2 linked regions of the Mus musculus genome follow. The protein of the gene in region 1 interacts with the protein of each later gene in a pairwise test. Links are inferred from orthologs where the notes say so. Each region holds a gene or a part of one and is shown on either strand. Other genes may lie near its edges.

The links. The genes of interacting proteins can lie anywhere in the genome.
Region 2: the proteins of Txlna (region 1) and Deup1 interact in binary tests that used the Homo sapiens proteins (3 or more experiments, as listed by UniProt). The two-hybrid records come from large-scale screens. The link is inferred for Mus musculus from reciprocal best matches to the Homo sapiens genes TXLNA and DEUP1.

Annotation. Positions count from the first base shown.
Region 1 is NC_000070.6:129,629,856-129,637,012, reverse strand, and holds part of Txlna (alpha-taxilin), read left to right. Parts: intron 1-2,467; coding exon 2,468-2,638; intron 2,639-4,190; exon of another isoform or gene 4,191-4,728; coding exon 4,729-4,923; exon of another isoform or gene 4,924-5,044; intron 5,045-5,302; coding exon 5,303-5,422; intron 5,423-5,658; coding exon 5,659-5,733; intron 5,734-6,608; coding exon 6,609-6,701; intron 6,702-7,157. UniProt on the Homo sapiens protein: May be involved in intracellular vesicle traffic and potentially in calcium-dependent exocytosis in neuroendocrine cells.
Region 2 is NC_000075.6:15,623,723-15,631,588, forward strand, and holds the start of Deup1 (deuterosome assembly protein 1), read right to left. Parts: upstream 4,125-7,866; 5' UTR 4,101-4,124; intron 3,006-4,100; 5' UTR 2,961-3,005; coding exon 2,932-2,960; intron 1-2,931. UniProt on the Homo sapiens protein: Key structural component of the deuterosome, a structure that promotes de novo centriole amplification in multiciliated cells.

The sequences.
Region 1 (7,157 bases):
GGAACACATATTGGCTTAATTTCTGTTAACTTTTTCTTTTAATTCTCCCACTGCTATCTGTTAAATGAGAAATTAGTTTCCAGTCAGTAAGAAGAGAAACTTTATTAGTAAATTTCCCAATGATTTCAGGTGGTAGAATTCTGGCGTTGGTCCCAGATATTGTGTAGTTATATCTTGATGTGTCTGTACATGCATCTCCCCAGGATGCTCTGCCTCCTGATTGGCCGTCTTTGGGGTGGCTCTTGTTCTTTTACCTCCTTAGCTCTCAGTCCTGAGTGAAGTGAAAGTTAGCTCTAGGAGCTTGATTCAGTTCTTGAGACAAGGTAATGACCTCCATGTTGGATCATGGGAAATACCAAGGCATGGTGGTGTGTCCGTTAGTTAATTCCTGGAGGATCAGGAATTCAAGGCCAGCCCAGACTACAGGGTCTTGTCTTGAAAATGAAACCCCACCACCACCACCACCACCACCACCACCACCAAAGAAAGAATGCCAAGTATGGTCTTGCCACCTTTCTTATTGTAAAAGTGTAGAGTGGATTGAGGGTAGAGAGATAGAGAGGAGTAAAGGAGGGGCTGGTCAGGTGGCTCAGTGTTTAAAAACAGTGACTGCTCTTCCAGAGGACCTGGGATTGATTCTAAGCACCCACATGGTAGCTCACAACCATCTTTAACTATAGTTCCGGGCACTCTGAAGTCCTCTTCTAGACTCTGCAAGTACCAGGCCCACAAGTATAGTGTAGACATAGATGCAGGCAAAACACAAAGAAACATTAAGTAAAATTAAAAGAAATACAGAGCCTAGTAGAGTGGTATACACCTTTGATCCCAGCACTTGGGAGGCATACGCAGGTGGATCTTTTGAGTTGAAGGCCAGCCTGGTCTACAGAGTGAATTGACAGTGAGTTCCAGAAAGAAAAACAAAGTCCATTTTGGAAGGCTTTAACTAGGAGAATACTGATGCTACAAAGGAGGAGGAATTGAGCTCCTGGGGTAACATTCTTAATATAGGAGGGGGCTAAGGCCTAACGCACAAGGAGGGAGGCTCCAGCAGTCTGTACCTGTCTGTAAGTGAAGAAGACAAGTACAGTCAGAGATGGGGGGCGTGTGCTGCTAGTCCCCTGGTTTCCTCTGAGTTTCCAGGGAAACAAGAATGATGACAATATCTGGGGTGGGAAGATATAAAGAGGAGATAAGCAGTTGTCTCGGAAAGGGGTGTATATCATTGGAGAAAGTGGTGGTGGCCTTTCTGGGCAGAAGGGAGCCTTCCAAGGATTGGTATAAGGAAGACTTCTTTTTTTTTTTTTTTTTGGTTTTTCAAGACAGGGTTTCTCTGTGCAGTCCTGGCTGTCCTGGAACTCACTCTGTAGACCAGGCTGGCCTTGAACTCAGAAATCCACCTGCCTCTGCCTCCCAAGTGCTGGGATTAAAGGTGTGCGCCACCACTGCCCGGCTAAGGAAGACTTCTTTAAGCAGGGTTGCTTCGGTACTTGTGCAGCATAAGGGAAAGGGGCTTTACTGGGATTAAAGAATAAGCCAGGGTAGAAGGTGAGTCAGTTAGGAGAAAAGAATGAAGCCCAGTAGTTGCAAGTCTATTAGGATGAGAAATGGAGGAACCATAAATACTGATGGGGATTTAAAGAAGTGGTGACGGTCCTGGCGTGGAGTGATAGGCCAGTGCTACTCAGGACAGCAGCCTCACCCCAGCTGATAGATGGCTAGTCTGATTTGGATCTGCTAAGCTATGAGAACTGCATCAGCCTTTAAAGGCCTAAGATTAAAATGTAAAATATACCGGGCAGTGGTGGCGCACGCCTTTAATCCCAGCACTCGGGAGGCAGAGGCAGGCAGATTTCTGAGTTCCAGGGCAGCCAGGGCTACACAGAGAAACCCTGTCTTGAAAAAACTTTTAAAAAAAAGTAGTAGTTGTAGCCAGGCAGTGGTGACACACCTTTAATCCCAGCTCTCAGGAGGAGAGGCACAACAGTGGATTTCTGTGAGTTCGAGGATATCGAGGGCTACACAAAAAAACCTCATCTTCAACACCTCCCCCCCACCCCCCAAATAAAAGAGTAGCAGTTGTTGGAAAAAGCAGTGTCTTGAGAAAGGAGTGTGGTGCAGACAGGCTCTGAATTGGTAGCATGTAGATTAGTTGTCTGATAGGATGTGGGTATCCCAACAGAGTGGACCATGGGCTCATCCAGTGGAGTCAACTGGGATAGAGGCTGGGATCTGATGGCGGACTTCATTGGTCTTGGTCATTATTCATTATTATTTCCCCAAGAAACCCTTGGTTAGCCTGCACAGTTTCTGGGAGGAGCATGAGAAGTTCCCGTGCTTTTGGTGTGTGAGCAGGCTCTTGTTGGAGCTGTTGTGCCTGGAGTGGAAGGGGTGAATAGTGGTTAGCTTAGGAATCTCTAGAGCTGTGTAACGGTGCCCTGCAGACACTTATGCCTCCTGTTCTCAGCTGGAAGAGCATCGGAACTCGCAGAAGCAGATGAAGCTCCTGCAGAAGAAGCAGAGCCAGCTCGTGCAGGAGAAGGACCATCTGCGAGGGGAACACAGCAAGGCTGTCCTGGCCCGAAGCAAGCTTGAGAGTCTGTGCCGGGAGCTGCAACGGCACAACCGGTCCCTGAAGGTAGGCCCATCAGTATCCATTGGGACTTGTGGGCAACTGCGGCTATGCTATACAGTGAGTTCTGGGCCAGCTTGGATTTCATAGGAAGATTTACTATAGAAGAAGAAGTAACAGCAGCAGCAGCTTAGGCTTAGCTCAGTCCCAGGTCCACCAAAGAACAGCTGTGCCTACCTTGCCTGGCGTGCAGGAAGCACCAGATGCGTCAGCCGGAGTCAGCTCCCTCTGCAAACACTCAGCTTCCTAAAACCACAGAGATTGTTTGTCCTGACACCCAGTGTAAAAGCTCTCATCCATGATAAGGGGAACCTGATGGCTTTTCAGATCTGCGCTGAGAGGGGCAGGAGCAGGGTGTGGCAGGAGGGTGTGGGACAGCAGAGCTGCTCAAGAGCACACTTCCCAGTCCTAAGCCGTTTCAGCAGACCTTGGGCACCACAGTAGGCTCCAGAGTCCCCTGCCAAGTAAACCTTTATGGGACCTCAGGATGCAAGGTGGGGAGATGGATCAACCAAGAGCGTGCTTCCCACTGCCAGCATAAGGCCTGGAGCCCGGCGGCAGAGCTGGCCTAAGTAGTGTACCTCGGTGAAGTATGGAGGACTAAGAGATGGCTGAGTAGTAACCTAGTAGTCTTCCAGAGGACCCGATTACTGTTCCTGCACCCACATTCGGCTGTCCGCAAGCCATTTGAGGAGATCTGATACTCTAATCTGACTTCTGGACACCTGCATACATGTGACATACATTCACAGAGACACATAAATATACAGAAATTTTTAAAAGCTTAAGCCAGGCGTGGTGGCGCACGCCTTTAGTCCCAGCACTTGGGAGGCAGAGGCAGGCAGATTTCTGAGTTCGAGGCCAGCCTGGTCTACAGAGTGAGTTCCAGGACAGCCAGGACTACACAGAGAAACCCTGTCTCGAAAAAAACAAAAACAAAAATAAAAACTAAATAAATAAAAAAGCTTAAAACAAAACCAACAAGAAGTGGGTGGGCAGATAGATAACCCAGTGGGTGACAGGCAGACAGATAACCCAGTGGTTAGGGCATGGGCCGCTTTTCTAGAGAAGCCGCTTCAGTGCCCACCTCTCACATGGCAGCTCACAACTGTCTAACTCCAGTGGCAGGAGGTCCATGACTCTCTTTAAAAAGTACAAACTTCTCGTGAATTCCAGGACAGCCAGGGCTACACAGAGAAACCCTGCCTCGAAAAACCAAAATAAATACATACATATATACATACTAAGGTAAAGAAAGCTTGGTGATGGCACTTGACCTCTGGCCTCTAGGTGCACACATGTGCAGTACTATTTATTTATTTATCTATATCTATTTATCTGTTTATTTATTTTGGTTTTTCGAGGCAGGGTTTCTCTGTGTAGCCCTGGCTGTCCTGGAACTCACTCTGTAGACCAGGCTGGCCTCGAACTCAGAAATCCGCCTGCCTCTGCCTCCCGAGTGCTGGGATTAAAGGCATGCGCCACCACGCCCAGCTATAATCTTTAAAAAACAAAAAAACAAAACAAAAAAAACTTAAAAACCAAAACTAGGTAAGAGTATGTGTGTCCATGTCCTTTACCAATTGTGTGCTGAGGAATTTTATCTACAGACTAAATTTCAGAAGTGAAATGGCTGGGTCAGTGGGCACAGCACTAAGTGGCTAATTGATAGAATCGTCTAGGCTGTCTTCATAAAAGTGGGAATGTTTAGGTGCCTCATTTCTTACAACTCTGCTAGTCCTGAATATGACTACATTTTGTTATATTGTTCTCTGTGGGGAACAGGAGGGACTAAAGGACATTAAAATGGACACAAATTGAAACAAGCAGAAATACTTAATCTAGAGTCTGGGAACAAGAATTCAGGCTGTCCAGCTGTTGCAGAATGGCACTTAGCATGGACCCTGAGTATTCTTGGGAGAGTCGCTTGATAACACCTGATTTACAGAGAGGCATGTTAGGAAACCCCATTGTATGACGTCCTACATCCTTGGTGCTCCCCAGGGCCCAAATCGCTGTTGGCAAAGACTGGACTTTGGAACTAGTTAGGGGAGCTTTGTGCAAGGCTGGCAACTATGGACAATTCTTTTCTTCAGGAAGAAGGCGTGCAGCGAGCCCGTGAGGAGGAGGAGAAGCGCAAAGAAGTGACTTCACACTTCCAGGTGACACTGAATGACATTCAGCTGCAGATGGAACAGCATAACGAGCGAAACTCCAAGCTGCGCCAGGAGAATATGGAGCTAGCCGAGAGGCTCAAGAAGTTGATCGAGCAATACGAGCTTCGTGAGGAGGTGAGCTGCAGGCGATTGAGGCCAGCAGCTTGGGAGTCTGTAGTGAGTGCCAGGGCCTGGGGCCGCAACTGCAGGCCTGGGCTTGCTCTTCCTTCAAGAGATGTATCCTGTAGATAAGGAGCTGAAATAAATGGAAAGAAGAGATTACACACACACACACACCAGTGCTTATCCCTGGTGTCTGAACCGGACATCTGTAGAGTATTCAGTGCTAGAGTGGAGGCGTGTCCTCGTCCCAGCTCCGCATCAGACCTGTACATCAGACCATGCCATTCCCAAGGACATGGGTCGGCAGGAGACCGGATGAAGTGCCTTGTTTCCTAGAGTTGGGGCTTTCTTGAAAGGGAACTCCTGACTCCATAAATTACCTTTTCTGCAGCATATCGACAAAGTCTTCAAACATAAGGACCTGCAGCAGCAGCTAGTGGACGCCAAGCTCCAGCAGGCCCAGGAGATGCTGAAGGAGGCAGAGGAGCGGCACCAGCGAGAGAAGGAGTTTGTGAGGCTCAGGCCCCAGGGCTGTGGTGGGGCTGGAAGGAAGTGGGCTGGGTTCTGGCTTAGTTCAATCTATTTCTTATGGATGGGAGAGATTTTGCCTGCCCAATCCAGTAATTGCCTGTCCAGACAGCAGTCTGAGAGCAGGTAGCCTCAGTGGGTCCAGTGCTTGTGGCTAAAGAAGGTCAGACATACCCTCAGGGGCTTCTGACAGGTTCTGGGGTCCTGTCTTGGAAATAGCTCCTGAAGGAAGCGGTGGAGTCCCAGAGGATGTGCGAGCTGATGAAGCAGCAGGAGACCCACCTAAAGCAGCAGGTGAGACGGGAACCTGACCTGCAGTTTCCAGGATGCTTTCACAAGGGCCCATCTGCAGGGCAGTGGAGACAGGACTGTCATAGCCTGGCTTTGTGCCAGCTGGCCTGTTGGTGTCGGCCAAGTCTTTTATTTATGTGTGTTTTGTTTCCCCAAAGACAAAGTTTCTCTGTGTAGCCCTGGCTGTCCTGAAACTTGCTTTGTACACCAGGCTGGCCTGGAACACAGAGATTTGCCTGTCTTAGCCTCCTAAGTAATGGGATTAAATGTAGGCATGTGCCATCATGCCAGGCATTTTTGTTGTTCTTTGAAGAACAGGTCTCTGAGTTTAGCTGTGGCTACAACTAACCCAGAACTTACCTTGTAGACCAGGCTCTCTGGTGGCCTTGAACTTGTGACAGTCCTCTGACTCCCAGATGCATGAGGCGTTAGCTACCAGGTCTAGCTCAATTCTGTCTACTTTTATTTTGCTGTATTGATATGCATATGAGTGTTTTGCATGGATGTATATTTTTCCCCACTTGTGTTCCTGGTACCTTTAGAGGTTAGAATAGTTCCAGACAGTTGTGGTCTCCATGTAGGTGCTGGGAATTGAACCCAGGTCCTCTGGAAGATCAGCCAGTGATCTTAACCTCTGGCCGTCCCTTCAGCCCTATCAGTGTATGCTTCGTTTTGTTTTGTTTTGTTTTGTTTTGTTTTTGTATGAGACCAGTGTCTCCACATGCTGACGTCTTCCCAAGGCTGACTTTGCAGGATTGTCGTGTTGGAACACATCCTTGCTGTGCACGACTTTGCTTGTGTGGTATTAGGAGATGGTGTCTCAGTAGAGTGGCTCTGTCCGCGTTCCTCCTCATCGTGCTCCTGTGCTTCTTACGCAGCTCGCCCTGTACACGGAGAAGTTTGAGGAGTTCCAGAACACACTTTCCAAAAGCAGTGAAGTGTTCACCACGTTCAAACAGGAGATGGAAAAGGTAACACAGGGAGGCCCTCAGCCTGGCCAGGACGGTGGGCGTTCTGGCCGCTTCCTTCAGACCTGAGCTGCCCTGGCAGCCTCACAGGCACTCTATATATCAAGAGGTAGTTAGAAGGGGCCATAGCTCCCTCTCCTGCCAGAGGGGACAGTTTCTGTTTGTTTTTCTATTATTGTTTGGTTTGATTTCTTTATTTATGCTGGAATTTTAAATAGAGAATATGCATTCTACTAGGCTTCAATGGTAGCTTTTTTTTTTTTTTTAATTTTATTTTATTTCTTTAGAGATGTAGTCTCTCTATGTAATCCTGGTTTCCCAGGAACTCTCAGTGTAGACCAGGCTGGTCTTGAACTCATAAATACCCACCCTGCCTCTACCTCGAGAGTGCTGGGATAAAGGCACCCAGCATATTTTTAAACAATATTGTGAATAGATATGTATGTGTATGGGCTATGC
Region 2 (7,866 bases), on another chromosome or scaffold:
TCACCTGGGAGACATGCCTCTGGGCGTGCCTGTGAGGGGATTTCTGGAGGTAAGACCCACCCTAAGTATAGTTGGTCCCCACCATGGGTGAGTCCTGGAATAAATAAGAAGTGAGCTCAGGGGCCCAAGGAAAGCAGTTCACAGGACAAAAATGATAGGCAGCTCCAAAGAGAGACATCTGAAAGAAACTGGAGGAAAAAGGACACTTCAGAAGTTTGTGACAACAGGATTACTAACTTCAGGAGCTAAAAATGTTGAGCAGGAAAGAAAATGATTGATCCTTATCAAACTCTGAGATGGACATGACTTATAAAGTCATAAGAAGATTATTGAGGCTACCAAAATCATGTCATATTGGGGGACAGGGAAGTTCGGAGCGTGTGTGTGTGTGTGTGTGTGTGTGTGTGTGTGTGTGACAGAGTGGGAGAGAGACGGAGGAAGGGAGGGAGGGAGGGAGAGAGAGAGGGGGGAGGGAGGGAGGGAAGGAGGGAAACAGAGATAGAGAGAGATCTAGTGTAAAAGTCAATAGCTAATACCTAAAATTGAAAAATCAAAAGCAGCAGTAAAACCCATTATTTGAAGATACCAAGTTAGACATCAAAAGCCTTGGGAAAGGGTCCCAGCCAAAAGGATTCACAGTGGCTGCCTTGGGAGTAGAAATCTGGCCGGGTACCAACGCAACTAGATTTTGTTTTATATTGTTTTGTAATCCATAGAACCAAATAAATTTTTTATATTGTGCACATAACTTTTTCTATCAGTGTTTGGTATATATTTGTATGTTTATGTAGTTTCAGAGCTTCATAAGCTCACTGTAGGTGCTAACTGTTGAAAGTGGGCTGCTTCAAGAAACATCAGAGGAACATGTCCATAAACTTGCTAACAAGTCCCTGGAGAACCATCCACATTTACTGGTTTCTTTACAACATGGGAGCCAGTGGGCTCTGAGCTCGGGACACTATGGCCATAGCCTACTGGGATGAGCAGCAGTCCTTCAGAGCACACTGTGGTGTGCTCACTAACTTCTGTAACTAACTGTAACTATCTTGTACCCAAACAAGTCTAACTCTCTCCACTGCGTTCTAAGTTCTTTAAGGACCAGTTCTGTTTTTAAATAACCTTGGCATTTCAGGGGTTAACACTCAGGACAAGGTACTTTGTCTTCAAAGAATGAATGCAGAGACCAGCCAGATCTTCAGCTTTGCAGGGCTAAGACAATCTGCTACACAAGCTCACGCCTGAATTCTACAGTCTGCCTTACTATATCCCAATGTCACAGTCTCTCTAGGGACCCAACACACTCTTAGCCTGACCTGGCTGTGCTGTGAACTCTAAGCAGGCGGCCCCTCTCACCTCCATGTGATCAATTTCCAGTGTAGGAAAGATCCAGGGACTGGAGCTAGATGTATTTCAATTCAACTCTTGCCTCCTTCACTGACCGCTATTCTACTGGTATAAATTCTTGTTCCTGTCTCCATCTCTCTGAGGCTCAATGGGGCAGGGACACAGCAATGAATACTCTTCGCCCTTCAACTTACAGTGGAGTTGGCTGTGGCTGGACAGGGCCATTATATATTGAAAAAACAAAAAGGTTGAAAACGCCCGGAATTAACCCAGCGAGCCTGAGAACCAACAGCTCAGCCCTCAGTGTCCTGGGGTGTGGTGATGGTGACTGTCTACCCTCACAGTTGTAACTAGCCATGAATTACTAGCATTGTCAGAGGGAATCCACAGATTTCTAGTCTGGAGAAAAGACCCAGCTTAGAAATTAGAGGATGGTTTCTACTATCCTCTTTACAGCTTCACACAGGCATGCAGGCACACAGGCATGCTGCCACACAGGCATGCTGCCACACAGGCATGCAGGTGACCAGGCAAGCTGAGCAATCCTGAGTCCAGCACCAACTATATATGGAATTTCTGAACTACAGCTAAACATATGCCACCCAGCTGGAGAGCACATTTCTGAGCCTTTCTTACAACTAAGTGAGACTGAGTTCTGGCCAATGATAGTGAACCCAGGGAAGCCCAACATCTCTAGGTCAGACTCCTAGGAGGAAAGTCTTTCCTGCCCTTGCTTTCCCCCTCATTATGAGCACTCACTACCAGGATGGAAGGCAAACAGTCACAGTGCTGGAGCAACCACTCTGGGTGTAAAGAGGAAACCACTCACTCTGACATAGAGATGAGTTTTCATGTTACTTAAGGCTGTGCATTTGGGGTGTGTCTCTGTGTGTGTGTGTGTGTGTGTGTGTGTGTGTGTGTGTGCATGTGTGTCACAGGTGGAGTAGAGTCACTGGACGTGAGCCACGAGAGTTGTGACTAGTGTCAAAAGCAGCTGCAGTCAGGCCTGGGCTCTGATGTACCTCTGCTGCCCCAGTCTGAGTCCAGCAGAGGTCAGATGGCTAGTGAAATATTCATGGTGCTGATGTGGGAGAAGAGGGAGGACAAATAATCGTGAAAAGGAATTTGGTCCATTTCCTACCACAGTGAATATTTTCTAAACCCCATTCTAAAATACCCAGTTCTTGCTCTGCTATGGAAATATATGTATTGCGGAGCTGTGTTTAAATGTTGAGAAAATGTGGCCAGTCTTAAGGATAGGAGCAGAGAAACACTCATCACAGCGAGAAAAGAGAAAGCTGGCCAGGAAGCGCTGTGTTGTGGACTTGTAAGGGCAGAGGAGGCCAGCATGGGTTCCGAATCTATAACGCCAACAGTATCAGTCAGGAAGTGCTGTCTTCCAGGGTGCAGACAACATCAGAAAGACTTACACCAGTAGATACTTCATAAGTTACTTGAGATTTTCAGTCTACTTACCGCCTCCCAAACCAATACATCCTTCTTTTAACAATTCACTTCAGAACTCACGCTTCCTCCAGACTTCTGGGCAAAGATGAGCTAATTAGATAGAATTTCTGAAGCACTTACCCTGCTGTGGTATGGGCTTGGTTCTCCATGCCAAGAAATGTCTACATCTGGCTTGGTACTTCTTGATATTTAATCTGTGAGGAGGGAAATTATTTAGAATTATAAAATGCTTAAACATATTAATATAAGATGTTATTTTTGTTGTTGGCATGCCATTTAGGATAGGTTCTCTGAGCATGGACGCTGTTGTTTCAACAGAGAAGGCCCACAGTGGGGGTGGGGGTGGGGGTGGGGGTGGGGTGGGGGTGGGGTTTCTTTGCCTTGATGAAACCAGCAAGCATACCTCCTTAACTCAGCTAGGCAGCTAGGTGTCAGTTGCCTAATTTGTGCAAAAGTTCCTAATTCCTGGTTTGAGAAGTGATATCTAGAAGCCCTCACAGTTTGCATCTTAGTGGAGTGCCTATCCTTTGCCTTTGAGTGTATTCTTTCATTGGTTTTTCTTGACCTTTTAAAAGAGTCGATTGAGCATGAAATTTAGTACGAAGTCCAAAAACAGGAGCTGGAGAACTGGCCCAGCAGTTGGAGGTCATCATGCTTAGAGTGCATAGAGAGGACCCAGCACCGGTCAGGTAGCTCAAAACCACCTAGTCCCAGGGCAATCAGATGCCCTCTTCTTCCCTGGCACCTACATGCCTCAACACACGCACTCGCGCGTGCGCGCGCGCGCACACACACACACACACACACACACACACACTCACAAAGTTGTCCCATTAGTGGACTAATTTAAAAGGATAAATGAACAAAGTGTTAAAATGAACTTAACCTTCCTAAGAAGTATATGAACTGAGAACGAGAAGGAGGGGGGAGGGAAGGAAAAAAAGAAGAGGATGAAGAGGAAGAAGAGGAGGAGGCAAGAGAGGAGAGGGTAAGGGGAGAAAGAAGAGAGTGGAAGAGGGGGAGGTGAACAGGATGAGTAGGAAGGGAAGGGGGCAGGGGAGAGGAAGAACCTCCTTTCAGACCATTTGCCACCACAGGAATTGCAGCAGTGAGACAGACACTGGAGGCGACAGGAGACAAAGCTAAGTCAAAAGGTTCAGACAAATTAAGGAGAGAAACTGAGGCACAGTTCCCTGGGTCGCTGGAAGCAGCAGTCCGGCCGGCCATCTCCTTGCTAGCTGCAGCCTAGGGGAGGGACAGGGCCTGGGTACAGGGAGTCCACCTGTTACCTGTACTGCTGTCTGGAGAGGTCTGCCCTGGCCTGGGCTGCGGGTCCCGCCCGCAGTGCCCGCCCGCCCAGCGCAGTTGGCGGCTGGTTCCCAGTGGGTTGCCATGGAGACGCGGCCTCCGCACCAGTCCGCTTCCTTCTAGCGGGAACTCCCCAGCACTGGCGCGGCCAGGTCAGTCCTCAGCCCGCCCAACCCGCTTAGCTGCGGCCCGCGGCTACCCAGAGGCGCGAGAGAAACGCGGGAGGACACTGCCCAACCAGAGAACCGGTGGGTCACCAAGAACGCCACCGCAGAGACTGGGCCTCAACCCTCTTCCCTTTGAATTCACCTTAGTAACTTCCAGCTGGGAATTGGTTAGGCTCACTCCACTGTCACTGTATTAGCACCATTTAAACCCCTCTCTTCCTCACAGTTCGCTGCGTCCTTGGAAAACTGCCAGTTAGGTGGATCAGGCTGTATTGGGGACAAGGGAGTAGCTTCTAATGGTGGGCACCAACCCGGGTCCTCGGTAACTGATTCCAAATTCTTTCCTCTTTCAGCCACATTCCAACCATAATTGATGACAGAATCTCAGTCTGACCCTGTTGATTTCACTGAGAAAATGACAGTATGTACCATATATATACCATATATGTGTATATATGATATAGAATACACACACAATATAGAAATCACAATACACTTATACATGTACTATTATGAAGATATGGGCACAGGGGAAAAATTCCTGAACAGAACAGCAATGGCTTGTGCTGTAAGATCGAGAATCGACAAATGGGACCTAATGAAACTCCAAAGTTTCTGCAAGGCAAAAGACACCGTCAATAAGACAAAAAGACCACCAACAGATTGGGAAAGGATCTTTACCTATCCTAAATCAGATAGGGGACTAATATCCAACATATATAAAGAACTCAAGAAGGTGGACTTCAGAAAATCAAATAACCCCATTAAAAAATGGGGCTCAGAACTGAACAAAGAATTCTCACCTGAGGAATACCGAATGGCAGAGAAGCACTTGAAAAAATGTTCAACATCCTTAATCATCAGGGAAATGCAAATCAATACAAGTCATATATATTATATATGTATGTGTATATATTTATATGACATAATACAGACAATAGAGAAATCACACAGATACATGTACTATATACAAGTCACACATATAAAAATATATGTGTATATATGACATAGAAAGCACACATGATATAGAAATCAACACACTGATACATGTACTGATATATATGTATATATATATCAGTATATACACATATATATGTATATATCAGTACATGTATCATATATATATATGTATATACATATATATATATATCACATACATAAATAGGTGTGCAGCAAGCAGACTTTCTAAGCACTTGGATGGGAATGCTGCTGGCTTGCTTTAGGAACATAACTGTTTCTCAGCACATCTGGATGATTGATTGCTAGTTCTTAAAACCTCTCATTTGCATTCTCCTTTCAACACTCATGTCAGTTTGCTACTTTAACATGGCGGTCAATTTTAATCCAACCCACAGTCCTCCATCCAGTTCTGCTTGGCTCTCAGATGAGTCATGTGGAATAATTCAGGATGCGAGTTCTGATTAGTGTTGCCCAGTTCTGACAGCGAGTAAGTGAAGCATGGTCATATCATCTTTTTCCTGAAACTTCATTATTCTGAGAATGTTAGTCATACCCTTTATTCTTGCCTAAGTTGAAACACACAATGTATTTTTCCTGTCAAGAATTGCAACCATCATTATTATTTGTTTGTTTGTTTGTTTTTGACAGTGTTGCTTTGTGTAGCCCTGGCTGTTCTGGAACTTGCTCTGTAGTTCAGGCTGGGCTCAAACTCAGAGATCTGCCTGCCTCTGCCTCTTAAGTACTGTGTGTGATTAAAGGTGTGTGCCTTCATGCCCTGCTATTTACTTATTTTGATTGTTGGTATCGGGAAGGTGGCACATGAATGGTTCACTGTAGGTGTCAGAGGACAAAGTGTAGGACTCTGCTCTCTCTTACATTTTGATTCCTGGGCATCATGCTTGTATACTCAGGCTTGGCAGCGTATGCCTTCACCAGCTGAGCCATCAGATGAGAGAGAGCAGGAAAAAGCAGAAACTGAAGGAGAAAGAAAACTTCATGATGGCTCAAATGTCCAAGACTGAACCCACTTACATCTCTTCACTGTTGCTGAAGCTGCAGGGACACTAGTGAGACACAGGCAGCAGGCGATGCGTTGCTCAGAGTTTTTAGAGAACATCAGCAAACCCAGACTTAGGATAAAGGATTCTGTGGAGGGTACATCTAGTTCAAGAACAACTGAAATGTGACTTCAGATTCAGTGCTTCACAAAATCTCCCCAGGAATTAGGGTTTCAAGTATTCAGGAACCCGTATATGCAGGAGTCCAGGTTTTGTAGAGGTGATGGTTGGTTTCCGACTTTCAGATGGATGAATGTGGGCGGGGTTTTTGAAGCCTGAGAGGACAGCTATGATAATGTAATTTAGGAAGTTGTATATATGTAGACTAGAACTGCCTGTAGCAGTAGAAGATTTTCTCCTTTGATCTCCCCTGCTGCGGCAGGGCAGCGTGAGTTCCTCACTAACAGCTGCATGCTCTGGATTCCCAAATGAAAGGCACACACACACACACACACACACACACACACATACACACTCACAGAGCCTTGTATTAAATATGCCTTAATCAGATCAATGACTGGGCCACTCCCAAACTTTCACATTGCTAACTTCTCACTCCCTATACTCCTGAATTATTACTTACTAAAATCTATAATCCTTCTTTGCTGCCCTATACCCCATGATGGGGGTCTAGAGAGACTCTTCCCCAGTTTTTACATAATTGGTACTCTGTCTTCTGCAGCTTTCAAGCCTGCATCTTATTACTTTCCTGGCATGGTGATTTTCTTTCTTCTTTGGTCCCCTTGGCTGTGATTCCTAAAGTCCTGCCACTATCTCCCTGCCTAGCCATTGGCAGCCAGCAACTTTATTTACCAATCAGAACCAGCAAGGGGGCAAGGACCCTTACTGTCTTACATGTGGGATTCTCATGCAATTTTGGGAACCTAGTTACAATACAAGCATAAAACCAAATCCATAACACTTCTCCTTTTTCATTCATTAAAAAAAGCCTTTCTCTCAGAAAAACAATGAAGATAGTTATAACAGTTATATACACTATAAGGTATGATATACACTAATAACATCTAGTCCATCAATTTTGTCAATTTAGGTACATTACTCTAACATCTACTCTAACTTAAAGAGTTTACAATTCTATATCTGAATTATGTTTTGATTTTAACTTTCATTACTATCTGGAAACATCCTTTCAAATCTATATCATCTTCCTCAATACTAAATAACTAACGTTTCATTATGAGACTATAACTAGTCTTTAACACTGTCAGAGATCTGAGAATGAATTAAATATTAACGGAATATATAGGAAGCACAAAATCTTCCAAAACTTAACCAATTTGCAGAGACAGCTGACTACCTGGACAGGCCCCCATTCCTCAAAATGTTGGAGCTTCTGTCTTCAGCTTTCTGGCCCAGAACCATCTGACAGACCTTGAGTGAAGCAGGAGCTAGGAACTATGAAGGACTATCTTACTGTGTCTTGGCAGAGCTAAGCTGTCGACTATCCTTCATCTTGTGTCCTTTCCTGGAGTGTGTGTGTATTTTTTTCTTTCTTTTTTTTTTGTCTGTAGATGAAGTAGGGCAATTCTTTCCCAGTGGCT